Solanum lycopersicum: one gene and its partners. The protein of the gene in region 5 binds, or shares a complex with, the protein of the main gene of each other region. Links are inferred from orthologs where the notes say so. Each region holds a gene or a part of one and is shown on either strand. Other genes may lie near its edges.

Region 1 (3,269 bases), on a different chromosome or scaffold from region 5:
ATTCATTTGATATTTGAAGAGTAAGTGAAATTTTAGAACTTATCAAACTCTTGAGAATTACGGAGTTGTTATCAAACTCTTGAGAATTACGGAGTTGTGTTATCAAGAAACGAGAAACTCTTGTTTCTATTTAGCAATTAGCATGACCGTTGGTGTTTTCTTGTTCTTTGTTATTATTTATTGATTGAAGAGTAGGTATCTAAATGCAGATTGATAGGAACGTGCGCTTCAAAGCACTCTTCAATTGGATTTTCCTAATATTCTCTTTTAGACCAGAATGAGACACAAAGATCAAATTGTGAATATGAATTTCCATGTCTTTCAGCATTATTTTGGTGTTTGTTTTAACAGGCAACTGGAGCTGGATATGGAAACTGTAGTTAAGGTACTACAACCTGGTCCACTAGGCATTGTGGAACACAAATTTTCTGCTGAGGAAATACAGAAAGCCAGTGACACCGTTAAGCATGCAGTGAGTAATTGGCGTAGGCAGGCTAACATTGAGAAACATAGCCCCATCATGAAAGATTTTATTGATGTATGAGAGAATTGTTTCTTCATTTGCTGTCAATAATCTCATGAAAAGACAATAGTGTAAATTTGTAATCTCAATAGAAATAAACTATAGTTATACTTATGACTAAAGCTCTAGTCGTTCTGTTTCCCAATCCATTGTCATTGCAGTGTATGAACTGCGTATTGACAGTATAGAATATTGTTGTTGTATAATGCACATAGTTGTTCCTGTTAATATTGTTCCTTGAAGACTACTGCATATATAATGCAGCAAAACGAAAAGATGATAATCAAGATATCAAATGTGAGGGCAGTTTTTGCCTGATTACTCAGCTCCATGTTCCTTCCACCAAGTCGATCCACCATGTCTGGAACAGATTCCCAGTTTTCTACTTCCAGCATGCGTGGATCTTGCAGCCTCATTTTCATTTTCTCTGCTTCTCGACTTGCTGTCTCCTGAGCTAGTGTCCAATCATAGAATCGCCGTTGTTCCTCATCACTCAGGACATCATAAATTTCTCTTAGTTTCATAAATTTCTCTGATGCTGCTCTTATAGGAAGATTAGTTGTGTCTGGATGATACTCCTTTGATAGCCTCCTATATGCAGCTTTAATTTCCTCTAGATCAGCTGTTGCAGATACTCCCAAGAACCTGAATTTGAAACATTAGAATTATGAACTGTGAGCCACACATTAAGAGATAAGATGAAGATAGCAAAGTAGATAATGAAGACTAACTGGTAGTGAGAATTAGCTGAACTGTTGAGGAGGTCTGAGAATTTTTCATCAAAGAGATTCTTTTCGTCTGTTTTGATTCGTTCTTGTGTGGACCGTGACTTACTCTCTCCTACCCATCCTTCATCTTCGTTTTCCCAGTGAATTCTTGTGTCAACACCAGGAGGAGCACGTTGTCGCCCAGTAGCCCCTTCTTCTTTTGCATAAACTTGTAAGCCAACACGGCGTCTTCTTTGTTTTGTTGTCAACCATCTGGTATCTGTTCTGTGCTCATTATTGGTTTGGTTCCTTGTAAGAAAGGTGAATGGAGCTGGTGGAGCTGTTGCTGACGCCATGGAATTGGAAATTTGTTTTGTGTCTGATTTGAGTAGTCTTAGAGGGAGGGGCTTTCTCATCACCTTGTCTTTCTGTGTGGTTGAGGAAATAACTAAACATTTTGTTTGCTTTTTTGTCTACATTTGTGAAATATCAATAATTTTGATTTTTGACGTTTGTACTCTTTAACTTCAAGACAATTTATATACATTCTTTAAGGTACTAAAAAAATTATAAAAGTAAGTTGGACAGGTTGAGTTATGATCCACGTTTTAGTCCATTTCAGTCCAAGTAACTTTTGGGCGGATCAATGACCTGTCTATTTATTAACTCAGCTCATTTTTAACCCGAACAAATTCAGTCTTACCCGCTCATTGCCACCTATAAATACAATCATACTCCTTGGGAGTTGGGTGGCAAAAAGAATGAGTTTGTGAGTTAGTGTTCGGAACGCAACACACCCCTTGTCTCTATATTTTCCTTTTTATATAATTATCATGATATTCAAGTTAGCTGACATATATTTAAACTAATTTTATAGGATGAGCTAACTCGTAACTTGTTTTTTGAATTGTTGAAGTGGAGGTCAATGTAATTTATTTTCTTTTTTGTGGCAAATAAAAGAGAGCCAAGTTGTTCTTTTAACCCTTTTTAAATCTATCTTGCTTTCAATTCACAAGGCAGGATCATTATACAAATATCACATATTTTACTTTTTTGAATAGATTCCGAATTTACAAACTTTAAATCCTGGATTCACATCTCGAGGAAACACAACTTCATACTCAAGCATCTAACAAAAATAATTAAAACAGAATGACAAGTCATGTTGAAGTATGGCATTGTATATAATTTATTATTACAATGCTTAAAGATACATTAAAAGACACTTGTTTGAGAAAACAGAGTTTTCATTGAGCATACTAAATAAAAGATGCTCAATTCCACAAACATTAAGAAAAACCAAACTTACAAGGTGTTAATATGCACTTTCTACATGATATATTGTAGTTTTACTAGCGTGAGTCTGAACTAATCATGCCAGTAAATTTCGCATACTAGATATGTAAAGCAAAAAAAAAAGTGTATATATATATATACACACTATAGCCAAAGAGCTTTAGCTTTCATGAGTAGAGGAACAAGATTTCCCTCTAGATGAAGACTCATAATCTCATTGGCACCGCCAATTAATTCTTGTCCAATAAACACTGCTGGCACGCTAGGCCTTCGGCCTAGCATCAGCAGAGCTCGCTCCACTTGTAGCCCATTGGGAAGTTCATCCAATTCATATACAGTTAAATTAGCACCAAAACTTGATATAAGTGTCTTTATAGTGTGACACATACAACACTTGCTTTTGCTAAACATAACCACTGGCTTTTCAGCTACCATTTTTTTCAATGACTCCATTTTTAATTAATGAAAAAAAAAGATTAATGTAATATAAGAGAATTGATAACTTGTTGAATTGATGATGAATTTGAAACTCTTATTGAAGCTATTTATATACTAATAGTGACTTGTGAAGATTCAATATGCTTCCTCTAAACCCCCCCCCCCCCCCCCCCCCCCACCCAAATAAATTAAAGGAAGGAATAATTTTTTAGATAAGGAGTTGATACTGTTAGATAGCATTAGAAGTTCTTGATACTGTCTTAAAAGTGTACCAAAAATATATATATAAAAAAAAAATCCACCAT
Region 2 (3,212 bases), about 53 Mb from region 5:
TTTCATCATATTTTATAGGCATAATACATATATTGGACCCTAAACTTGACTTCAAATTTTGACTTTGACCTCCAACTTTAATAGTGCACAAATAGACACTTAAACTATCATACCATTAAATAAATAAACACACGATTTTTGGAGACAAAGAGAGTGAAATGCAAATGCTCCCACGTATATTAGTGAGCCACTCAATGACTGCCAACTAATTAAATATTTTATGCGTCCATTTTAGAATTTAAAAAAAATTTAAATGAATTTTGATTTGGAAATATAAAAAAATATATAAAAGGGATTCATTAATGGTGGAGTTGTTATTTCAGCATTTTTTTACCATTGTGGACCTCAAAAATTACTACTCCTAACTCGCACAAAATACATGCACATTACATGTTTGCCAGGTACGACTCGCGTGTTTATTTATTAAAGGGTTAGATAATTGAAGTGTTTGTTTGTTTACTATGAACGTTGGAGGTCAAAGTTAAAATTTGAAACCAAGATTAGATATGTATCATGCCGTACTTTATTTGTGCTTTATTTTCCATCACTTTAAAATTTGTCGTTAACACTTCACCGCTTCAACTACAAGGGGATTTCAGTTACTTATGGGATAGCCAGAAACATTCTTTGTACTGTAATTCAATAAACAAATTGCAAATCCTGTTTCATGGAACAAGACTCTATCATTGCAGCTCTTAGAACAATTCTAAATGTCCAACACCTGAAATGAATCAGCCACCACTTTAAGTTTGTTGCGGAATTTTCTCCATCGCCTTTCATTCGCTCCCACGATTAATGTGTAGTATCTCCCTGTACGAAATGTCTTAATACGAATGCAGAAAAATGTAATGTACAGTTAAAGGAAACAAACCAGATCACTTACCATTTGCAATTGCTATAGTAGCAAATGCTGCCCGCGAAAAATTTGGAGATGTCAATACATATTCAAAGGTGAAATAGTTTTTCCCATCCGTAGTTCTCTACATAATTTTGAACAAAAATATGGTGACTAATTGAAAAAGAGCTACGTATATTGTACAATCAAGAGAATAAGAAAGGATCATACCTCCTTCATTTCCATTATATTTGCCACCTGATTCGGTGCAGAGTAAACATGTTTTACCAGATCGGGCACAACCTTTAGGAAAGTAGAAATAAGTTGGTATGACGAAGAAAATACATGTCTTTTTTATATTTTTCTCCTCCTTGATAGCTTAATAAAAAACGGCTACATAGATGAATAGTACCGCGATTTACCTCTTGCATTGGCCCCAAATCATGGATATCTGTTTTATCAGTTGGTATAAAACTAAGTCTTACATTTTGCAGTTGTAGATACCTATCTTTAAATGCAGAATCATGACCTCTGAAATCGAATTCCTGTACATACATCCAAAGTCAAAATGAGAGTTTACTAATTTCTAAAAATTCATTTCTTAAAAAAAAAAGAAGCAACATACCCTCCAATCTGATGGATAGTAATACGAATAACCATCTCGTTTGTCAACAAAGATTTCATAGTTCTCCGGTACTCCTGCATACACGTCATTTAATTATAAAAAGTAAAAAGTTTAGAGAATAAAAATTATAGTAACAGAGTACCTTGAGCTAGAAGGGGAGTCGCGGGTAATAATAAACCCAACGAAAGAGCCCCTGCTCCTAATAGATATGACCTTCTCATCAAGCATCCTGAAACAGAGATACTAGTAGAATTTTACCACGGAGAAAATGGCGTAAATGCAAACATGACTTCATAATTGATCGATATGAAATTTTCTTACTCTGTTGATTAGGGGACGTGTTTTCTGATGCCGAACATGTAATAATGTTGTGTAAGCCATGCCTATTCAAATTGTTGGCTGCTGGTGATGGAAGCCCAAGATTCAATGAGAGTGAAGTAGCTGCCATTTTTGTGGACAAAAATCACTAGATTTTTGCTTAACATGTTTATTTTTTCTCCTAATACAATCACTTTTTTTTCCATCATTTTTTCTTGCTCAATAGGATAAGATGCAAATTAAATGTGAGGATGACCTTTCCTGCCAAGGTCCAAATGGGCTTTTATGTCTCTTTCAACTACAACTAAATGAGCTGTGCTTCATATGTGGGGCTAAAATTTGACTATATCCACATTGATAATTTTTACTAATTGTTCTTGCAAATTTTTCACAAGTTTACCATGTCATAAATATCTGTATGTAACAACAGCACAAACTTGAATCCTTGATGGATGAGGCGGATCTAATGTATTGATACCGAGTTTATCTGAACTCAGTACTTTTAATGCGAAATATAAATTTATGTGTAAAAATTCATCAAAATTGCAATAGATAGTAAATGTAAACTTATAACTTAAAAATTAATGGGTTGATCAATGCTAAAAACCTTAACAATTGACTTCGAAGAATTTAAGATAATGATACTTTAACAACTCGACCATATGAAATGTGATATCAAATGCACCCATGTTGATGTGGAAAAACCAAGCACAGGTTCTTTCAATCACTGTATAGCACAAGCTATTTGAAAGGAAATCCAACTGGCGATGCATCAATGATCAATTTACATCCTAGCGTGGAGGTATTCATCAACTGTGTAAATGCAACGCCAAATATAATTGAAGAATGATCAAAGGGTACCAGGGGTGGAGTACGCCATGTTAATGTACCTTGGATGATCCAAATCTCAGTGTATGCGTCTAAAGTTTCAATCCTGAAATACAATATACAGGAAAGGAAAAATAGCAAGCAAACAATAATATTTGTATTTGAATTAATACTAAGGTTACAATCTTTATAAAATATCTCAAAAAGATATTTAATCCCCTGATTCTTCTCTTCACAGATGTTATTGATTTGGCGGAATACTTGCGGCTCAACCCTTGGAGCGAAGACTTCTTTATATGCTGAAAAGCAATTATGTATTCCTGTGTATATGTATTTTTTTTTGTCCTTTTGGTCAGAAGAATACCTCTTTATATAGGCTTGAGTTAGGGCTTTAGGGTATTTTGGTCTGAGCAATTTTGATCCCTGGGCCTGAAGAACATGAGTTGGGCTCATCTTGTCAACTTAATGGAATGATCCAAATGATTTGGACTTGATTTAAGTCATACAATTTTGGCTTAGATATTAATTAGACTTTATCAACCAGTAATTTGACTTGGTCAACATATGGTGATTTAAGATTTAATCCAAATGTAATATGGATTTATC
Region 3 (3,726 bases), on a different chromosome or scaffold from region 5:
ATTAATTAATGACGTGACAATTTTCTATTGGCCAGATTTTAAATAACCTAAATTAATTTAAAAACCCACCCATTCCTAAATTAGATCCGCCCCAAATTCAATTAACCCATCTTTGAGTATATAACAGTACCTCAGACAGAGCACCTCCTGTAGAAGACATAATCAAACTGGATTTTGCACCATATCTGAAACTTGAAGATCTTACTGATGACCATATTTTTACGAAACAACGCCAGTGTTAGAATTCACAGACACCATACCAGCAGAATGAGGAGTATGATCGCCGAGCCATGGGAAAACGAGTCGAGAATCAGGTGAAGCACCAAGAAACTTTGGCAATGGTGAAGGCTCATAACGCCTGCTGCTACTACTGGAACGACTATCACGATGAAGGGTATCTTGCCACGCCCATCTACCATCATCCCGTTTCGATCTTCCTTGAAAGATAACACAATTTGCCAGATCAATTCAAATGCTTAAGAAATGTCACAAAATTAAAATGGTATTGAACTAGCTGAATTTTCCTAAGATTAAACCATTGAACTAGCTGAATTAAATCAAACAGTAATGGCATTACTGTTTGATTTAATTCAGCTAGTTCAATGGTTTAATCTTAGGAAAATGTTTTAAGAATTAAGGTGAAGAGTGAGTAGAATAAGAGGAAAGATAATGAAAGATAGAGATGGATGTTAAGCAATTAGGAGACTTTAGTTAGTGATAATACTTTTTATTTATAAGTTGCTCTGGTTTCTTGATCTGCAAAGAAAAAAGAGGAAGGTGATGTGTGTGTGTTGAAAAAAAAAAAGTGGGGGTGAGGGGGGGGGGGGGAGTGATGGATTTTATTATCCTTTTGAAGTTCTTCAGGGCAAGAAATCGAAGAAGAAGCTGGAAATTTCTTCATGAAGAAGAAAAGACAATGGAGTCATGAAAATTGTGAAAATGGGAGGAATAAGGTTTTAGCATATTTTAATTAGATGGTTATTTTTAAAATTGGGTCAAGTGGGCGGATTTAGTTAAAATAGGTGGGTTTAAAATTATTTTAAATAATTAAATTACAATCAATGGTTGAGTGCCACGTAATTAAAAATTATTATTTAATTATTTTTAATTTTGGTTTGTTAATGAATGGGTAAATTTAGACCCAAGGGTGGGTGTGAAGGGTATTTGGGGGCCAATAGATGGATGGAGGGTAATTGTGTACCATTTTCAATATTTCGAAGGTATTTTAGACCCTTTTCTATATTTTTAATTCTTTTTAGTTATAATTTTATGTTAACATTAGTAATGAAAATACATTTTTTATGTATTACTTATTTATATTTTAGTTATATCTTCTATGATACATAAAATAATATATAATTTTTTGTAATTTACACCTACATTAATTATAAATGTTTCTAATAAGTTTTATGCTAAATAAGTATTGAGTGTAGCAAATATCCCAATGATTTAAATTCCAATATCCAAGATGCGTATGATGTGTGGTAAAGGAAGAATAAGACAAAACCAAAATTGTTTGAGAAAATAATAGTTGTGAGTAAGCAGAAGAGTGTGTTTTTCTTATGTGTTTTCTTAACCTTATAACTCGGATAAAGGGAATAGATGAACCGTGTGTTTTTCTTATGTGTTTTCCTAACCTTATAACTCGGATAAAAGGAATAGAGGAACCCAAAAATAACTATCCCAAACTCAAATCATGAGCTTCACATTCATCAAACCCTCTATTCCTAGTCCTACATCGGAATTGCTGCACCCTTTCAGTAAATCAGTTAAAACCATTACTTGTATCTCAAATTCAATCTTTTTATAATTAATTCTGCTTAACTAATTACCTCTTTTCACTTTCTCAGCAGCTAAGGCATTGTCCAACCTCACCTTTTGGAAATAATGCAGGCAGGAGGCACCAGGTAGGTTTTACATGTTATTATTGATTTGAACAAGTATGGTTTGCAAAAGCATAATTAATGCTGTGGATTTCTATGATTAGATTGAAAGAAATAGGGTGAAGGCACTCCCAGATTGGCCATTAATGGCAGTATTAGTTGAGCATATGGAAGGTCAAAGAGACCTCATAACTCATAAATCTGTTTGGCATCTTAGTGATGAAGCCATGAAGAATGTCTGTGAGTAATCATTACTTACTAATTCATTTTTATCATTCTAATTCAAAATTCTCACACCTAATTTTTTCTCCATTGTAGATACATTTTACATCATGTTCACTGTTTGGGGATGCTGTTTCTTCGGTTCTACCAAAGTAAAATTTTTGAAATTAAACTTCATAAAATTGAGTTGTATCTCATTATTATGTGTCTTTTTTCTTTTAGGATCCTTACTATGATTCAGAACAATACAGAGGAGATGGAGGTGATGGTACTGGACATTGGGTCTATGAGAAGGTACAGTTTTTCTTTTCCGTTTTCTATCAAGGTTAGAAAATCAAAAGGGAAAAATACCCTTTCTTGTTCGCGACAGAGAAATGTTTATAGGTTTCAGTTAATATGTCGTTTGGTTGGGAACAAGTTATATTAGGATTAATTATACGAATTAATTATTTGATCATGTAAATGTGATAACTTATCATAAATAATCTCAGAACTGCTTAATACCTCCAACCAAACACACGGATAAAACATGGATTATCATAGTTTATACCTCACATGCGAGTTTTAGCTTTGACAGGTGAAAAAAAGGTTTTTAAAGAGTTAATTGTAGTCTAAATCCTGAATTCTTGATGTGAATGTTTTTTCCATTAAAAGAACATCTCTCGTTTCTAAAATAAAACTTTACTGAAATAATTTTATGCATATAAATGTCAAAATCATACTAGCTAGTTTCGAATTGTCTGAATTTGTTTCAACATGAATTTTGGCACCTAAATGTCCTATTCAAGATATATAGATATCTTTACAAGGTGGAATGCCATGATATTTGTGTAGTGAATGATACTACAAATCTGATTTTGTGATTGTGCAGCAAGAAGACATCGAAGAAGAAGCGAGAGCAGAGCTGTGGCGTGATGAACTGATAGAGGAGATTGAACAAAAGGTTGGGAGTCTTCGAGAGCTTGAAGAAGCTGGGAAGAAGGAACAGTTGGTCAAATGATCATCTTTATATGTGCTAAGAACAAATTTTATGATGCTTCCCAGTTATGTATATACAATATATGATTTCCAGTTCTATACAACATGGCTGTTTTGCCTTAATTCAGTGTTATGTTGCAAAACTCAGATTTCCCCTTCAAAATGTTGTCTTAATGAACTGTCACAATGTCAACATTTGCACTGTACAGAATCAGTTCTCTTTTTGTATTTGCTACTAGCAAGTCATGCAATGCTCTTTTAACAAGATTCATGGCATACACATCACGAAATCAAAAATTACTTCAATAATAGCCAAATTGTTAACCCTTTGGGTTGGATCAGTAGTTTGACCTTGGGACTTGCATGTTTGAAACCCCCTGCCAGCGAAAGCAAGAAGTTTGCCTTTTGGGTCGAACTCATTGCAGCAGGCTTGCAAGTAGTGAGCTATTGCATAAGAGCGAAAAAATTACCTTGTGCGCACCCAAAGAATAGTGACTGTGAAATCCCGTTGTCTTCAAAAATAAAATTAAAAAATAATAATAATGGCCAATATGTTCCCTCCCTGGTTGAGGAGATTGGAAAGAATTTTGGCTTAAAGCTACAAAAGATATCATCTCTGAATTTACATTCAAGACTGCATAGT
Region 4 (3,972 bases), on a different chromosome or scaffold from region 5:
CAGAATGTCCTAAAGTGTCACATTGATAAATAACATATCTCCATATTCCTTTTCTGTTGAGAAAAAAGAACGAATATATATATTTCCGCTTCTATTAATTACAATTGAGAAGAAAATGGAACTAGTAACAATTACAGGAATACTTAATTACTATATGTAAGAGAACTGGAGGATGTATAATATTTAGAAGATTGCTAGGGGCATGGTGAAAATTTGAACAGCACTCTTCACAGCTTCAACATCAATATCAACCAATTTTCCAGTATTTGATGAAATAGTTGCACATTTCTTTGCTTCTGCATTGGGAACAAAACTTCTGGCCTTATCCTCAGAGCAGAATAGCCCAATACTGTACAGACAAAACCAAGATATATCAACCTCCCCACAAAGACAGCAGAAGGTGCAAAAAATTTCCGCGTCTACAGCTTGTAGTAGATGACATTACCTTGGTTTTCCACGTGCGTGAGCAAGTTGTATCGCAGCTGTATTTGTAGCTATCACTCCAGCAGAGTCATCAACAAGAGCAGCAAGCTAAGGCAGAGAAATATGCAGGGACTGTTAGTTTTCTAGTGCTCATCCCGCGGTATATAGACTATAGTTAAAGCTGCCACTAAACATGCAACAGAAGCAAACTACTTTCATTTGATTATACCCTCCTTGAATATGACTGTAAATTGTTGCCATTATATCTGTGACTCCAACCAATTTCTTCTTTTATGGTTGTTCAACTAAACACTGGTTGATCATCGGTCATTGATATTGTGAAAGTGGTTGAGAAAACAAACCTGTCCAGGGGTGGTTATGAACACTATACTAGCATCGTAACCAACTGCATCTTCCACATTTTCTCTTTCTTTTTCGTGTGGAATGACAAAAACTGGCTTGACTCCCCTGATCAAATGATAGTTTACAAACCATTAGTATAGCTCACAAATTTTCTTGCATTTGATGAAAAAAGGCTAATCAGCTAATTCGAGAACTAAAAATGACCATGTAGTCGAGTCGGCCCTTTTTCCGACAGAGAATAAAATACTGACATTATACCTTATCTCCTCTGCTATCTCAGCCCAAATCTCAATAGGGAGCAAGCTATCAATATCACCCCTTGACTGCATAGAAGCTTTTGAATCTGATTTAATCCCATGAATCACAATATATTTGCCTTTCTGTGCACCAACATTCTTATATTTTGCCTCTACAACCTCCCTAACCTTTCTTGAGATTGAAACTTTAAGTGGGGGTAAAGGTTGTCGAGGTACTTTACGAGCTGGTCTGCCCAACCAATCAACCATCTGACGGTACCTATTTCAAAAAAGTGTATGTAAACATGTTTATACAAACTTTGACGAAGTACAACTGTTGCACTTTTCAAACTCCCTATTTTGAAATGAATATTCAGTAGTCAAAAAGATCAAGTTATCAGTTGGAACATCTACTTACATATGATATCCGCCCTCGGAGAGGTTCATGCTTTCTGGTGTAAAAGTTTCTGACAGAAACAATCCTGCTCCTGCAGAATTCACATTTGGGTAAATGTAGCTAACTCTGTCACGAGCAGTCGACATAAACAAAAATACTGCATGTCCAATCCCTGCCAGTTTGGTTGACAAGATCATATCATAGTACCTACTCTGCAACAAACCATGCATTAAAGCAAATAACTTAGCCCAAAAAATGACTATAACTCTCTATTCATAATGCAGGAAGCAAATTCTTTTATCTCTATCTGACTAAACAAGACGAACAGCATCTTGAAGCTAATCTAAGCGATTCTTTTTCCAAACGTAGTCTGCTCAACTTTTGAATTATCTGCAAACTCATAAGATAACCATAGTTAAATCTTCGTATTTAACTAAGTTTCCATATAATGTTTGTTACTTTCTCTAATTTTAGGTGCTAATACATCAAGGCACGACAAGAATCATACTTCAAATGAAACAACTTGCTTAAACCTATGTTGCTCGTAGATTAATGTGTGTCGGATACTTCCAAAAGTAATGCACTTTAAAATCAACATTTTTGAAGAGTCCAAGCAACGTAGAATTTAAATAATTATGAATCGATGTTAATGTTAATGGAACGGCATGAAACCTTAAGAATTCCAAGCATATCCGTATACTCAGCTGGTTCAGGAAAATCATCATCCAGATCATAGGCATTAGCCCACCTCACATTTTTATTCATCTCAAATGTCTGTTTTCCCCTGGCTGTTGCAAGTATATCCACTTGAACACCAGGGTACCTATCCTTAATCATCTGAATTACTGGAAAGAACAGCAAATTCTCATAAACCCCACCATCAATAACACAACAACATCTCCGAACATCACCTCTAATTTTCAAACCCAACGAAGCAATCTCAACAGAGTATCCCATTGGGAATTTGAGAAATCCATATGGGTTATCAGGATTATCAGGTGGCCTTGGATCTTCATCTTGTTTCCCTTCAGAAAAAAGTGAACCATATTCCATTTCAGGATCATCACCATAGTCAAAAGGGTCAAGCCATGGATTTTTTTTCTTGGCATTGAGGCAAAAATTCCCTGATTTTCTGGCGGGAAAAGATGGATTGTGGTTCAAGAAAGGTACATTTGTGACATGGGTTACAGGAAAATTAGGTGGATTAGCAAAGAAAGGAGAAATGGAGTTAGATAGTAGAGTAGTAGAGGCAGCCATTTGAGTGTTATCATAAAATTCTGCAACTTTTTTTGGGGATAGCTAAAAACTATAGCAGAAGGTGACGTTGGATTTCAATGTGTGAAGGTAGTGAGATAAGTAGGTCCCCATTGTTGTCACTATGTTCCTGCCTCGTCATTAGCGATTTTTTGTCTCAATTTATGTCTATCATTTGTATTTTATATTAAATTAAATAATATCATATAAATTATGACGAATGAAAAAGTATTTTTTGTTTTTGTTTTCAATCGAGTGTATGGTAGCCATATTGATAATCTAACTAATTTAAATTGCATAAATTTGATTTTAAAGAGAAAATAATTTTTACTAGAATTTCTTTCGTATTCTGAATCAATATTTTAAAAAGTGAGGTGATTTATATCGTATAGGGCGAGGAGTAAATCCCTGAACACGGGGCGTAAGCCCCATGGGTCTACTAGGCTTAGTCTCATGTATATTTAATATTATAATTTTATTACTAATAAAATAAATAAAAATAAATCTTTCAATGATTATAATTCTTATTTGCAATAAATATTAATAATCAATAATGAAGAAAAATATATTATAATTACTATTTGAAAAATATTATTACACCAATAGTAAAAATATAATTTAAAGTAAAAAAAGTTTTAAATAATAAATTAAAACGTCACTATATACGTTTTACGCCCAGAACTTACGTTTTTTATGCTCAAGACTTACACCTTATGAATTTACTTCTTTCATTTACGCCCTGGAGCATTTTCGATATGGCCCTCCCTGAAACTCGCCCCAAAACGTTTTCAAAAACATCGCCCTGAATTAGCTTTTTGAATTGAGTTAGGTTTAATATATATATATATATATATATATATATTACATATTGATATTCCTTAGCTTTTACATAATTTTATTTTTTTAGATTTTGACACCCCTTAGATAAAATTTTAGCTCCATTACTGTCTGAGACGGAGAAATCCTATCTATGTTGTCAGAATCGTGAGTTATACTACTTGTGTTAATTAAAATACAAAGTGCTAGCAAATAACAAATTATGTATATTGTTGTTCCATCATAGGGAGAATCAAGTACAGTTATCCTAAAAACGATTGCTTAATATGCAATCAAGAAGAAAAAAAGATGCATGAAAAAGGAAAGGAACTTCACAAAATTGTGTAACAATTAAGTCAAAAAAGTAAAGATTATAAACAGAGTCAATTAATGAGATCAAAAGGAAAAAACAAAATATTATTATATATAGAAAAAGAGATAATGAGATCATAAAAGAGAAAAAAAAAGTAAATTCTTAGGCTT
Region 5 (3,934 bases):
TAGCTCAGATGGTAGAGCGCTCGCTTAGCATGCGAGAGGTACGGGGATCGATACCCCGCATCTCCATTTTAATTTTTTTCGATAATATTTCATTATATTTGAATTTTGTTAAAACGGTATATTTATCTTTGTTTGGTAATATTTCATCATATTTGAATTTTGCTAAAACGGTATAGTTATCTTTATTTGATAATATTTCATTATGTTTGAATTTTGCTAAAACATTATAATTATCTTTGTGTGATCTATAAGTCACATGTTCGAACCTGAAATAAGTCTTGGATTATGGCCCTTCCCCCGTTCCACGGGTCATGTATAAAAATTTTGCTACGATGGTACGGTATAGTTATCTTTGTTTGGTAATATTTCATTATGTTTGAATGCTGCTAAAAAGTTATAGTTATCTTTGTTTGACCTATTAGTTACATGTTCGAACCTGAAATAAGTCTTGGATTGTAATCCTTCCATCGTTCCATAGGTCATGTATGGACTCGAGATGCTTCATGCACCGAGTTGTCTCTATTATAAAAATGTGGAAATCAAATTGAATCTCCATCAAAGTGTTATTGACAATTCCAAAATTTACGAAGGAACATTTTGTCTTCTTGTAGTCAAAATGACTAATTAACAGAATATAATTAAAACATATGTTTTGTTTATGCCATTCTGTCCATGACTTGTTGGAGAATAGTAGTTGTTTCTTGATAACATGATTGTGTTTGAGGCAGGTTCTTTTTCTTCACAGCATCTTCAAGCTGCATAAAAAAAAATATTGGAGCAAACACATGATCAAAAACTTTGCTATTTATAATTACGTTGTTCAGACTTTTCAAAAATATTGACGGTCACCAATCATAATGTGTGTCGTATTCTACAAAATCTATACATTTTTGTAAGGATCCGACAATATTTTTGAAGTGTCAGAGGAACACAACACCAGACTTATATTGCTCGGACTTCAATAATATTGCCAGAGCATGTGCTAAGATTTTTGGAGGATCTGATACGAGCACAACAATATTTTTGGAGGGTCCGATCAATATTGTATCAGACATATGTTGCTCAGACTCTTCAATAATATTGTCACAGTTTTTGTGTGTAAGATTTTGGAGGATTCCACATGGGCACAACAGTATTTTTGGAGGATTCGACCAACATAGTTATCAAACCTATGTCGCTCGGATTCTTCAAAAGTGCTTCTATATATGTCCGTCAATCGAGGATCCTCCAAAAGCTATGCAATGGATCCGACATAACAGGTACAACAACATTTTTAGATGGTCCAATTAACATAACATCAAGCCTATATATGTGTATATATATTGCTCAGACTCTTCAAAAACACTATTGACATCACATTGTGTACCGCATCCTCAAGAAAACATGCATTTTTCAAGGATGTGACACTGATACGACAAAATTTTTGTAGGGTTTAACCAAACTAATATCAATCATATATTGCTCAGACTCTTCAAATCTATATATATTTTTTGAACACATTTGGGACAATATTTTTGAAGGATACGAGCAACATATAATATCAGACAAATAAAATCAAATGTACCTTCTCAACGTTATCAAATAATCGATTAGCAAGATCAGTGAGAGGTTGCTTATCATTCACTTGTGCAGCTGTGATAACTTCATCAAAATCATAATACATAAATGTAGATTTAATCCTCAAATATTTCCTCACATAATTCCAAGAATCTGTTCCAATCAAATCCCCTAATGCCAATAAATCAAATGCATATCTTTTCAACCTATGAATTCTCCCTTTTGTTCCAATATTAGCAATGTACATTCCTTTCTTAAGAAATGATCTTGTACCTGTCTCCTTGTTTATAATATCTACAATCAAATATTACAAAAACTTTTATCTAACATATTAAAATTATGGACGATCGACTCGATTCTTGATATCTTAAACTTAAATGCGCGAAAAAAGCTCAATTTTTTACCCTTTGACACCAAATGGGGTCCGACATCACTACAAGAAAACTGTAAATTACATAATACGGATAGGCGTATAGACTTTTTCTTCTTACGATCCTATCATTTCTGCTTCAGCGAAATATTCTGATTCGGCTAATTTCACACTTATCTATGAGCTATGATGGGGATTTTTCTGAGAATTAGTATGAAAATTTATAGGAAAATAAGTTTATGGTGAATTTTTATACTAATTCCAAGGAAAATCCCCATGTATTCACAGCTTTTTCGTAGTGTATAAAGGTAATTTTACATCGAATTCAAATTTTTTTACTCGAATAATTTGGACATGTGGGGTTCACCCATTTCATATTCGTGCTATACATGAACTTTGTTAATGTAGTCTGGTACATAAAACATTTCGCATTAGATGAATTGGGAATATCTATAAATGCAAGTGTTAGTGGCTGTTAAACGCGACGTGATAAAAAAAAATATAGAAAATAAAAACTTACTGGTGGATATTGAAGGGTCTTGTAGTGGACCAGTAATAAAAAATCCATTATTATCTTCAGCAAGTGAAATATCAATTCTTGAATTTGCAAATAAAGCAATTGAACCAATGCTTAATGCTAATCTTCTTGTAATTTTTGGTGGTGAATTTTCTTGAATTTCTTTATTTTTTTGGCTTATTGTTTTTGCTTTTTTCTGAATTTTTTCAATCTTGGGAATGAGGGGAAGAGCTTCAAATATAATGTTTAAATTTGTTGTGTTTGCCATAATTTTTTGGTGTTGAAACTATGAACAAAAATGATAGCCTATTTTTTGCACTTTCAAAAAAAGTTATAATATTATTATCCATTTGATGAAAATCTTGATGACTATTGGCCACTAGAAGGATATCTCAATTGAGGGTAAGATTGTAATTCTCCCCTCTTTTCTTTTCTTTTTTTCCTTTTTATGTTTTTCCCAAAATTATAAATTCCTATGATATTTTTATTTTTCGAATTTGTTACTTAAAATCTTAGCTCTGTCACTGACTTTCAACCTAATTATTTTGAAGAAAGAATCAAATACGAGTGAGCTGGATAATTTATCTATTTTACTTGACTCATTTTCAATCTCTTTGTATCTATAACTCGATTCTCCTATTTGTTACACTTGTATTTTTTTTATATGGTCAATGAACTAAGAACTTATTTAACTATACTTGTTTATGTCTTATATAAGCAAAGTGACATAAGTAAAGATTAATATATGAGTTTTGACTTATTTTTGTTATTTTGTCGTAGCATCAAGTGTTTAATATATGAGTTTTGACTTATTTTTGTTATTTTGTCGTAGCATCAAGTGTTTAAAAATACTTAATATTTTACATGAATGCTATGAAACTGTTTAAATACACCTAAAATAAGTCAATTAAAACATGTTCTAATAATTATTAGTATCTCATAAAGTCATATTTCTTCTTGATTCAATTTCCGTAACGGAATGTTCAAGGAAGAAATGACCGCACGTCGAGTAAATATGACCAAAGTCCATTTATTTGCTCTCTTTATTCTGTAGATACGCTCGTGGAAAGAAAAATCGGAATTGAAAATGTAGATTGATCAATTCCGCCCCGTTCGAGTAATCGTATTGCATATAATGAACTATAAGCCCAATGGGCTTCACTTACAGGCCCAAACTTCTTCTAAAACGGACCCATGCGAGCCCAAAATTTTCACGCATTTTGGGACCGAAGTTCAAATTACACACTCTCCGGCAAGTTCCTCCGGCGAAGTTCTTCTCCGACGAGCCAACTCCGGTCAAATCCTTTCCGGCGATAACACCGCTGTAAGTTCTAACTTATCTCACTTTCTATATATATTCCTTCTTCCATTGCTCTGTATTCATATACAGAAATGTTTAAATTCGATTTCAGATATAAAATTGACTAATTTAAAGAGTTAATGTTTCACAGTAGTAGTTTAAATTAGGTAGAAATCATGTTAAATTGAGT
Region 6 (3,950 bases), on a different chromosome or scaffold from region 5:
ATACATAAAAGAAAGATACAGTATACGTACAGTTGCTTAATAATTAAAGGAAAAATTATATAAAATATCAAATTATTAATTCAAATTAATGTTATAATCATACTTTGATTTAATTGTAACTCGTAGCAAACAATTGTCATTCACCTCTCTCCCCGACGAATTTCGCTTGCCACTCTCCCAGGTCTTGCTCGTCACTCTCCCTCGTCTCACTCACTTTATACAAAAGGCAAATGAATAAATTGTGTTTGTATTTGTATAAAGCGGGAGAAAATTATATGTACACATACATATAATTTCGTCATATACACTTATAATTATACAAATACAGATTTCCTCTACAAGTTCTCTTTTGTCATTCTCTCTTTCTCGCTTTATATAAACACAAATTACAATGTATACTTTGTGTTATATAACTCGAGAGAGAGAGCGATTTGATATACAAATGTTTTATTTCGATACATTGTATACAAATTCAAATTTTATGCAGATATACAAACACATAAAATTGAATTTAGAGGTTGTCAACGATTTATACAAACGAGAGGCTGCCAATGATTTAATGTACCATAGCAAGTATAAAATTTGGTATGGGCCGCAATTATACAAACTATAGTTATAGTATACAAATATGATTTTTTATGTTTGCTAAACCTAAACTTACTTATAATTAAATAGTTTCCTATTGAAATAATTATTTCTGTATGAATGTCGTCGATATTTTCCTCCTTTTTTCTCCCTTATTTTTGTCATAAGTTGGAAAAAAATTTAAAATTTTGAAATATTGGTGAAAATATTTTTTTAAAATAGTTTTAAAATAATTTTTATAATGGTAAGCAAAAAAAAAATCTGGTTTATGGCTAAGAGAGGCTAATTTATTTTGTTTAAAGCATTTTGAATAATCTCATTTAAATAGACATTTACGTTCTCCAATTCTGGATATGTACAATTACAAGCAGACATATAAATATGTATATAATTAAACAAGTAGACACATCCTATGTGACATCGTACGTGACAATTTGCATCCTATATAATGTCCTACGTGCATTATATCACGTAGTACGTCTGTTTATGTTTGTTCAATGTTATATAAATTTAAGTGTTGATTTATCTACAATCAAAGTTGAAAGACATAGATGTCAGATGAAATCAAGTTAAAAGGGGTCGGAAATTGTGGTAACACAATAAGAGACTAAATAGATATTAAAAAAAAAATATAAAACCATAATATATAATAGCCTTATCCACGTATAGCCTTAACCATTCAAAATATATGGATAATAAAGTTAGAAAACATAGAGTAAACAAGCAAGAACAGAGCAACACTACTCAACAACAATGGAGAATTCTTTAACACTTTCACTACTCTCCACAATTCCAGTTCCCAATTCAGTATTCTCAACAAAATGGAGTGTTCTTTTTCGAGGAAATCCATGTTCGATTTCCTCGAAAATTGGTACAAAATGTGGTGGATTTAGATCATCAACAAGATTGTATGCAGGACTAACAGAGATAGAACCAGATATCAACGAAGATCCTGTTGATCGATGGAGAACTAATGGCATTGACATTGTAATGTTTCTTTTCTTTTCTTCGTTGTTTTTAAATAATTGTAGTGTTTGAGTAAGTTTAATATCTTTCATCAACATAGATATCGAATAATTTTGATATAATACAAAATGTCCTTTTAACTTGGCTTTTTTTAACTGACAAATGTATCTATTTTTTCAATTTTATATAAGTCTCTATTTGTGTACATCGAAAATAAGAGGATATAGATGTAACTGAAACAAAATTGAAGGGCATATTTATATATTTATGTAATAATTTTTTTTTTATTGAAATTTTGACGGATTTATTTTAAGGCAGACGCATGTTAACTAATTTTATTTTATTTTAATTTGTTGCAGGAAGATTATGTTTTTGGAAAATACGATGATCATCATACGTACTTTGAAAGTGAAGATAAAAAAGGTACATAACAATATGTGTGTGTTTTTTTCGATTTAATTTGTAATTTGAATTGAAAAATATCTAAATTTGTCCAATGTATTATTATATGAATTCGATCAAGTTAGTCTTCGTTCGACTTTTCGTTTAATAAATCGTTTCATATTTGTCCAACGTGAAATTGGTGAACTCCACGTGTTCAAATTCTTCGAAAAACACAATATTTGAGTAGCTATTTTTACAAAAATAGGTAAATGTATTTATACTTAAACTATACTTAATTCTATATCACTTGCATTTTCAGTATCATTTTGGGGATCCATAGCAGAAGATTATGCTGCTATTGCACCCCCAACAGGATTTCAAGGTATGTAACAAATTACCATAATAATATGATCATTAACTTAGTCATTTACTTTTCGCACTTTGACTAATTTCACGAAATACTTTCCATCAGCAACAAGTATCAGCTAACTCTATCCATCTACCAACACCGATTGTGGTTCACTGGTGGGAGTGTTTCACTCTTAACCACAGGTCTCGGGTTTGAGTATTGGATATGATCTATTGAGAAAATCATGTTGGGAGCGTCACCCTCAAATATAGGACCTGCAATGTGCGATTCGAATTTAGTCGTAATTCCAATGTAAGCTCCGGACATCGGGTGGAAAAAAAAAACTCTATTCATCCACAGTGGATAAGACAAATGAAAGGATCACCTAGAATTTTTCTTCTCTCGCTGAGAATTGAACGTGATGAGACCTCGTGACTCTTAACCAGTTCATTGACCACTAGGGCACACCCTTGAGTGCTTCTTTAGTTATTTACTTAAAATAACTTATTTTTCTGGTGTTCGACAATAGGTATCATTTCATGGCTGTTTCCTCCAGCAATAGTTGCAGGAATGTACTTCAATGTTCCTGTAAGTTAATGACTAAATCTCTACTATATTACACATTTTTCGAGGCTCGAAAACACCCGTTTCCAGCAACTAAAAGTCTTGTATTTTCACTTCTTTGACAATGCAGGGGGAGTATTTGTACATTGGAGCAGCTGTGTTTACAATTGTGTTCTGTATCATTGAGATGGACAAACCAAGTGAAGCACACAATTTCGAGCCTCAAATATATAACATGGAGAGAGGTGCGCGAGATAAGTTAATATCGGATTATAACACAATGGACATTTGGGAATTCAACGAAAAATATGGTGATTTATGGGATTTTACTGTTAAGAAGGACGATATCATGAAACGATAGAAATAAAAAAGAACAACGAATTCATATGTTCTGAATATATCATTAAGGTATCTAAATGAATCGCGTAATGATCATTGGATTTCATCGATTACTCGAAGATGCATATGATCTGGTGTTGTTCCATGGTTGTACTATATGTTTCTTAACTACATTGAGATGAAAAAAAAACTCTAATGAACTCCCTAGCTGAAGAATTACACTGTATATATAAGGTCAAAGTTATATATTTCTTATTAGTATATGTCAAATCCCTTTATCAATTCTTTATATTTTGAATTTCCTTAATAAAAATTCTGATTGCGCTACTGCGATGAGAGTTGTATAAATCAAAGTACATAGGATGTTTAAAGTTACATTAAGAAGGAACTTAAGAGTTGAAAAGTTTGATTGAATGATGAGTGATAACTAACATGATTTGGCTTTTTTTTCTAATATTTTTTATGAATGTTCTGATATTGCTTGTTGTATGTGTAAATATACCTACTGAATTAGCTCTATGTACTACTTCCGTTCCAATTTAAGCGACACTTTTTGAATTTCGAGATTCAAACAAGTCTATCTTTGATCGTAAATTTTTATATATATCTTTTAATTATTTTGAATTGTCAATTATTACGACTTATATTACTTTTAACGTAGTTTACAAATATATAAATTTAAATTTTGAAAAATATTAAAGATTGTACGTGCAAATTTTCGATCATACTTAAACTATTTGACTCTGAAAAATGAAAAATATCA
Region 7 (4,109 bases), on a different chromosome or scaffold from region 5:
GACCACAGAAGGCTAAACTGAAGTAAATCCAGGTAGCTTTTGCATACAATGTTGTTTTAACCACAACGACAAGATCTCAAAGTTTCCTTATTTACAAGAGAGTTGATTGATAAACAAGAAAAAGGAAGATGAAAGGAAAATCTTACCAGTTACCACACTCTGCAATGACCCTCACATTAGGACGAAGTGTCGGGAGTAAAGCAAGAAACTGCAGCTCTGCCTTTGATAAGACCTGAACATTTTAGGTCAAACAGTTAACAAAGATCTAGTCAAAATACTGCTGATGGACTAATTAGATGATGTACACTTGAAGGGGTGGATTTAACCTTGGCTTCTATTATCCAAACCACTAATCCTTTAGCATCCGGAGGAAGTAAAGAAAGCCTATAATCAACTTCTGGAGGAAAATACCATCTAGCTATTGGTTGCTTACCAACATGAGCCTGCAACATCAAAATTTGCAGATGAGAGTCAATTAGACACTGCAAGTTAGTGTTTGAGAATAAGCATATCGTATGCGAACTGCTAAACTTACAGGGCAGACAGGGTGGAATTTGGTAAGAGTGGTTTCAGGGTCACCGAGGCCACGAGCCGAAAGGTCCAAGAAATGATATCCCTGGTACTTAAGACGTGTAAGGTAGCGTCCTTCATAGCCCCCTTCATGAGGAGAGTAAATTGCTATGGCTTTGTGTTCTTCCACATCTGATAACCATTGACCCAAATCAGGTTTAATGAGATCTCCACCTATGAAGTCCTGAAGTTCAATGTTACATCTAATTGCTCCTTTCTTTTGTCTTCCAACTGAATCAAGTCTTCTCGTTCTCACAGCCTTTGATATGCCATTTAATTGTACTCGTTGCTTCTGCAGACCATAAGACTGCACTGCCCCTTGATAACAGGCTGCATTTTGCCATTTTAATTCAGATTTCATGGTACATGACCGAAAGAACAAAGGCATCATAATGAAAAACATTGAACGTTAAGACATCACTCTCAAAATTTAATTAATGCGAACAGGATAACAGTATCATTTTGGTGCTGCAAGTGTGCATTTCCACATGTAAAAGGTAGAAAAAGTTATAAATAAGTCATTTTCCAAAGAGAACTGATAAGATTATGTTACAGGGAGAACTGAAAGGGTGCCTACTGTAAGCAACCTGTGAAACTCGAGAACCAGAAGTCAGTTTTTACCATTGTCAACAATGGCTAGAAACATTGCCAATGCACTGCTTAATGTGACAGTGCATAACAGTAAGCACAAACATTTTCAGCTTTATAGACCAATATTAGGGAAAGTCTGGATTTCATACCATGTAAAACAATAACAATCGGGAACAAATGTGAGTTGGAGCTGAATCTCTACTCACCCAAAAAACAAAACTTCAAAACATAATTAAGTAAATGTACACTTTCACTACCTACCCCACTAATATTTACATATAACAAGCTGGAATCACCCATTATGATATCAAGTCTTGATCTTTTTAGTTCTTTAACCATCACCCTAATTTTGTAACAACACATAATAGCAACTAAGCATACGTCTTCACACACACGCACACCGTGATATTGAACTATAAATCTGAAAATTGGGAACAAATGCGAGTAGAAGCTGAATCTCTACACACCCAAACCATAGCTTAAAAACAGAATTAAGTAAAGTGTACATATCACTCCCTACTCAACTAAATATTCACATTTAACAAGATTGAATAGTCCATTAAGTTAAGTCTTGATCTTTTCAGTTCTTTAACCATCCCCCTAATATCAAGATATTATAACAACACATAATAGCAACTAAACGTTATACATCTTCACACACACACACACACACACCATGATATTGAACCATAAAGCTGAAAATTGGGAACAAATGTGAGTTGAAGCTGAATTTGTACACAACTTCAAAACATTATTAAGTAAAATGCATACTTCCACTCCCTACATAACTTAATATTTACATTTAACAAGCTTGAATCAACCATTAAGTTATCAAGTCCGTAAAGATATTGTCATCCGGACCTAACTCAATCGCAAAACCATACACCCTCCTTCACGCTTAGGCCCCTTGAGAGCGAGAACCAAAAGCTCACACCGGGAATGAACCTGGTACTCATACCATGTAAAATTAAGTTTTAGGCCTATCTAAACTACCTCAAAGGTAGGAGGTGCTCAAGCCTTAACCACCAATATGAACCCCTTTTTTTTAAAAAAAAATAAAAATTAACACCCCACCTCACACAGATGCAATATTATTACAAAGTCTTGATCTTTTCACTTTTTTAGTGATCACCCTAATATCAAGATATTGTAACAACCCATAATATCAATTAAGCATTATAAATCTTCACACTGCGCACACACACAGAGAAAGGGGTTATTGGGGATGACCTGAAGAGGAACAGGGTTGGTCTTCAGTGGAAATATTGGGGCGCCGCCGGCAAGAAGACCCATTGCTAGTAATCAAGAACCTCCTAGTGCTGCTGCTGCTGCTGGTGGTGCTAGGGAAGGTGTAGGAGAGAGTTGTCATTTGGGTATTTTGGTGGCAGTGTGTGAGTGGTGGCAGTAGGCAGCTATAGCAACAGAGACTGTGGAAGGACCATTGCAAACTTGGACAAAGATGACTACTTTGTTCCTTGCCACTCAATAAATGTGCTGATAAACTTTACAATAAAGAAATTACAAATAACAAATATTTAAATATGCATAATAATATTAGCTATATAAATTTATGGGATAAGTTCTATATTTTAAAAATTGAAATGATGTTTTGGGGAGAATTTAAAATTTGAGATAACATAATCTCAAATTAGTTATTCAAATTTTAATTTTATATTGTATATTCAAACATAGCTAGAATAATAATCATAAGGTGAGAGTTCAAACTCTATTGTAACTTTTTTAATGAAATAATTTTGTGATTTAGAAAAGAACAAAAGCCAAACTTAAACCTAATTTATATATTTTGGATTGAAAATCCAAAATCCAAGTAAAGATTATGAAATTTCCAAACATCCTATTTAATTGCATAAGTTGTCCTTCAAATAAATTAATTTTTATTCTTTTATATTTTGAATTTTTAAAATAAAACAAAGTTAAGTATTCATTGTAAAATTCATAAGGAGTAAGAACGTTCACCACAGATAAAATATGAATTGTGATACGACCATTAACATCTAAAAAAGACAATGTTTCACAATAATTACTAGTAAAACTTTTGAAACACATAACAGAACTCCAAAAATAATTGGAGCACATATATCTCCTTCCTTTAACTAGAACACGTACTATGGTGCTTTGATTCCTGCATCATATTTTGAAAATAAATTTATACCTTATAAGACATAAGTTGTTTAAGATAACAAAATATAACCAACACTCAATATATAATGATTTTAAAATATAAATTACCAGTGAAAATATTATTTATATAGTATTAAAACATAAAAACTAAAACCAGCTCTGTTGTAAGAGGGAAAATAAAAAAGACAAACTTTAGGGCTTTTTATATAGTAATCTCCCTATCGAAACCTCAAAGATTTCCCATTTCTGCAAAACCCAAATGGAATCCAAAGAGGACGAAGCCTCCCAAAGCGGAGCAAACCCATGGAAATTCAGTCCATTTCAAGCAAAGATTTAGTTTTGTTAAGGCTTCCGGTGAAATCCCTTTTACAATTCAGGTCTGTGTCGAAATCTTGGCTTTCCTTAATCTCTATCCCTAAATTTGTGAAGACGCATCTCTTATTTTGTGCTAGTAACAAGGAGTTATGTTTAAGGTTGCTATTTATGTTGGCTAGTTATGTGTAGTGATTTACATCGCCATTCTGTAAAGGAGGTAATTGACTTGGATTATCCAGGTAAAATTTCCAAAGACTATCCTTGGCTGGTGGGTTCGGTAAACAGATTGATTTGTGTTGCCTATGTAACAAATTGCATGACTTGTTTATATGGAATCCGTCAATTAGAAAGTATAGCAAGTTGCCTAGTTATAGACTTAATCGATGTGGTGGATATCAAGTGGAGGAACCTGGGGATAGCAGATTTGGTTTTGCGTTGATGTGCTTCAAGATGATTACAACGTAGTGGGAGTTTGCCCTGTTTACAGAAAT

Evidence for each region.
Region 1: photosynthetic NDH subunit of lumenal location 3, chloroplastic (region 5) and NAD(P)H-quinone oxidoreductase subunit T, chloroplastic share a complex: the UniProt entries of both Arabidopsis thaliana proteins name them as parts of the chloroplast NDH complex. The link is inferred for Solanum lycopersicum from reciprocal best matches to the Arabidopsis thaliana genes PnsL3 and NdhT.
Region 2: photosynthetic NDH subunit of lumenal location 3, chloroplastic (region 5) and photosynthetic NDH subunit of lumenal location 1, chloroplastic share a complex: the UniProt entries of both Arabidopsis thaliana proteins name them as parts of the chloroplast NDH complex. The link is inferred for Solanum lycopersicum from reciprocal best matches to the Arabidopsis thaliana genes PnsL3 and PnsL1.
Region 3: photosynthetic NDH subunit of lumenal location 3, chloroplastic (region 5) and photosynthetic NDH subunit of subcomplex B 4, chloroplastic share a complex: the UniProt entries of both Arabidopsis thaliana proteins name them as parts of the chloroplast NDH complex. The link is inferred for Solanum lycopersicum from reciprocal best matches to the Arabidopsis thaliana genes PnsL3 and PnsB4.
Region 4: photosynthetic NDH subunit of lumenal location 3, chloroplastic (region 5) and photosynthetic NDH subunit of subcomplex B 1, chloroplastic share a complex: the UniProt entries of both Arabidopsis thaliana proteins name them as parts of the chloroplast NDH complex. The link is inferred for Solanum lycopersicum from reciprocal best matches to the Arabidopsis thaliana genes PnsL3 and PnsB1.
Region 6: photosynthetic NDH subunit of lumenal location 3, chloroplastic (region 5) and photosynthetic NDH subunit of subcomplex B 5, chloroplastic share a complex: the UniProt entries of both Arabidopsis thaliana proteins name them as parts of the chloroplast NDH complex. The link is inferred for Solanum lycopersicum from reciprocal best matches to the Arabidopsis thaliana genes PnsL3 and PnsB5.
Region 7: photosynthetic NDH subunit of lumenal location 3, chloroplastic (region 5) and NAD(P)H-quinone oxidoreductase subunit N, chloroplastic share a complex: the UniProt entries of both Arabidopsis thaliana proteins name them as parts of the chloroplast NDH complex. The link is inferred for Solanum lycopersicum from reciprocal best matches to the Arabidopsis thaliana genes PnsL3 and NdhN.

The regions. Positions count from the first base shown.
Region 1 is NC_090808.1:63,749,795-63,753,063, reverse strand, and holds NAD(P)H-quinone oxidoreductase subunit T, chloroplastic, read right to left. Parts: upstream 2,024-3,269; 5' UTR 1,647-2,023; coding exon 1,255-1,646; intron 1,169-1,254; coding exon 748-1,168; 3' UTR 545-747; downstream 1-544. Other genes in the region: uncharacterized protein, read left to right, coding at 352-544; monothiol glutaredoxin-S2-like, read right to left, coding at 2,671-2,979. UniProt on the Arabidopsis thaliana protein: NDH shuttles electrons from NAD(P)H:plastoquinone, via FMN and iron-sulfur (Fe-S) centers, to quinones in the photosynthetic chain and possibly in a chloroplast respiratory chain.
Region 2 is NC_090809.1:53,937,019-53,940,230, reverse strand, and holds photosynthetic NDH subunit of lumenal location 1, chloroplastic, read right to left. Parts: upstream 2,056-3,212; 5' UTR 1,909-2,055; coding exon 1,782-1,908; intron 1,704-1,781; exon of another isoform or gene 1,690-1,703; coding exon 1,603-1,689; intron 1,535-1,602; coding exon 1,461-1,534; intron 1,381-1,460; coding exon 1,258-1,380; intron 1,139-1,257; coding exon 1,067-1,138; intron 981-1,066; coding exon 884-980; intron 811-883; coding exon 707-810; 3' UTR 501-706; downstream 1-500. UniProt on the Arabidopsis thaliana protein: NDH shuttles electrons from NAD(P)H:plastoquinone, via FMN and iron-sulfur (Fe-S) centers, to quinones in the photosynthetic chain and possibly in a chloroplast respiratory chain.
Region 3 is NC_090811.1:46,151,489-46,155,214, reverse strand, and holds photosynthetic NDH subunit of subcomplex B 4, chloroplastic, read left to right. Parts: upstream 1-1,481; 5' UTR 1,482-1,696; coding exon 1,697-1,768; intron 1,769-1,850; coding exon 1,851-1,907; intron 1,908-1,987; coding exon 1,988-2,123; intron 2,124-2,201; coding exon 2,202-2,257; intron 2,258-2,327; coding exon 2,328-2,399; intron 2,400-2,976; coding exon 2,977-3,105; 3' UTR 3,106-3,226; downstream 3,227-3,726. UniProt on the Arabidopsis thaliana protein: NDH shuttles electrons from NAD(P)H:plastoquinone, via FMN and iron-sulfur (Fe-S) centers, to quinones in the photosynthetic chain and possibly in a chloroplast respiratory chain.
Region 4 is NC_090802.1:62,985,699-62,989,670, forward strand, and holds photosynthetic NDH subunit of subcomplex B 1, chloroplastic, read right to left. Parts: upstream 2,801-3,972; 5' UTR 2,677-2,800; coding exon 2,092-2,676; intron 1,632-2,091; coding exon 1,441-1,631; intron 1,303-1,440; coding exon 1,045-1,302; intron 892-1,044; coding exon 786-891; intron 532-785; coding exon 446-531; intron 350-445; coding exon 184-349; 3' UTR 50-183; downstream 1-49. UniProt on the Arabidopsis thaliana protein: NDH shuttles electrons from NAD(P)H:plastoquinone, via FMN and iron-sulfur (Fe-S) centers, to quinones in the photosynthetic chain and possibly in a chloroplast respiratory chain.
Region 5 is NC_090809.1:1,367,805-1,371,738, reverse strand, and holds photosynthetic NDH subunit of lumenal location 3, chloroplastic, read right to left. Parts: upstream 2,795-3,934; 5' UTR 2,713-2,794; coding exon 2,448-2,712; intron 1,852-2,447; coding exon 1,565-1,851; intron 756-1,564; coding exon 657-755; 3' UTR 501-656; downstream 1-500. UniProt on the Arabidopsis thaliana protein: NDH shuttles electrons from NAD(P)H:plastoquinone, via FMN and iron-sulfur (Fe-S) centers, to quinones in the photosynthetic chain and possibly in a chloroplast respiratory chain.
Region 6 is NC_090808.1:66,330,675-66,334,624, forward strand, and holds photosynthetic NDH subunit of subcomplex B 5, chloroplastic, read left to right. Parts: upstream 1-1,245; 5' UTR 1,246-1,338; coding exon 1,339-1,572; intron 1,573-1,910; coding exon 1,911-1,974; intron 1,975-2,254; coding exon 2,255-2,317; intron 2,318-2,813; coding exon 2,814-2,872; intron 2,873-2,978; coding exon 2,979-3,209; 3' UTR 3,210-3,450; downstream 3,451-3,950. UniProt on the Arabidopsis thaliana protein: NDH shuttles electrons from NAD(P)H:plastoquinone, via FMN and iron-sulfur (Fe-S) centers, to quinones in the photosynthetic chain and possibly in a chloroplast respiratory chain.
Region 7 is NC_090808.1:66,282,369-66,286,477, reverse strand, and holds the start of NAD(P)H-quinone oxidoreductase subunit N, chloroplastic, read right to left. Parts: upstream 2,801-4,109; 5' UTR 2,531-2,800; coding exon 2,392-2,530; intron 901-2,391; coding exon 536-900; intron 444-535; coding exon 327-443; intron 233-326; coding exon 147-232; intron 1-146. UniProt on the Arabidopsis thaliana protein: NDH shuttles electrons from NAD(P)H:plastoquinone, via FMN and iron-sulfur (Fe-S) centers, to quinones in the photosynthetic chain and possibly in a chloroplast respiratory chain.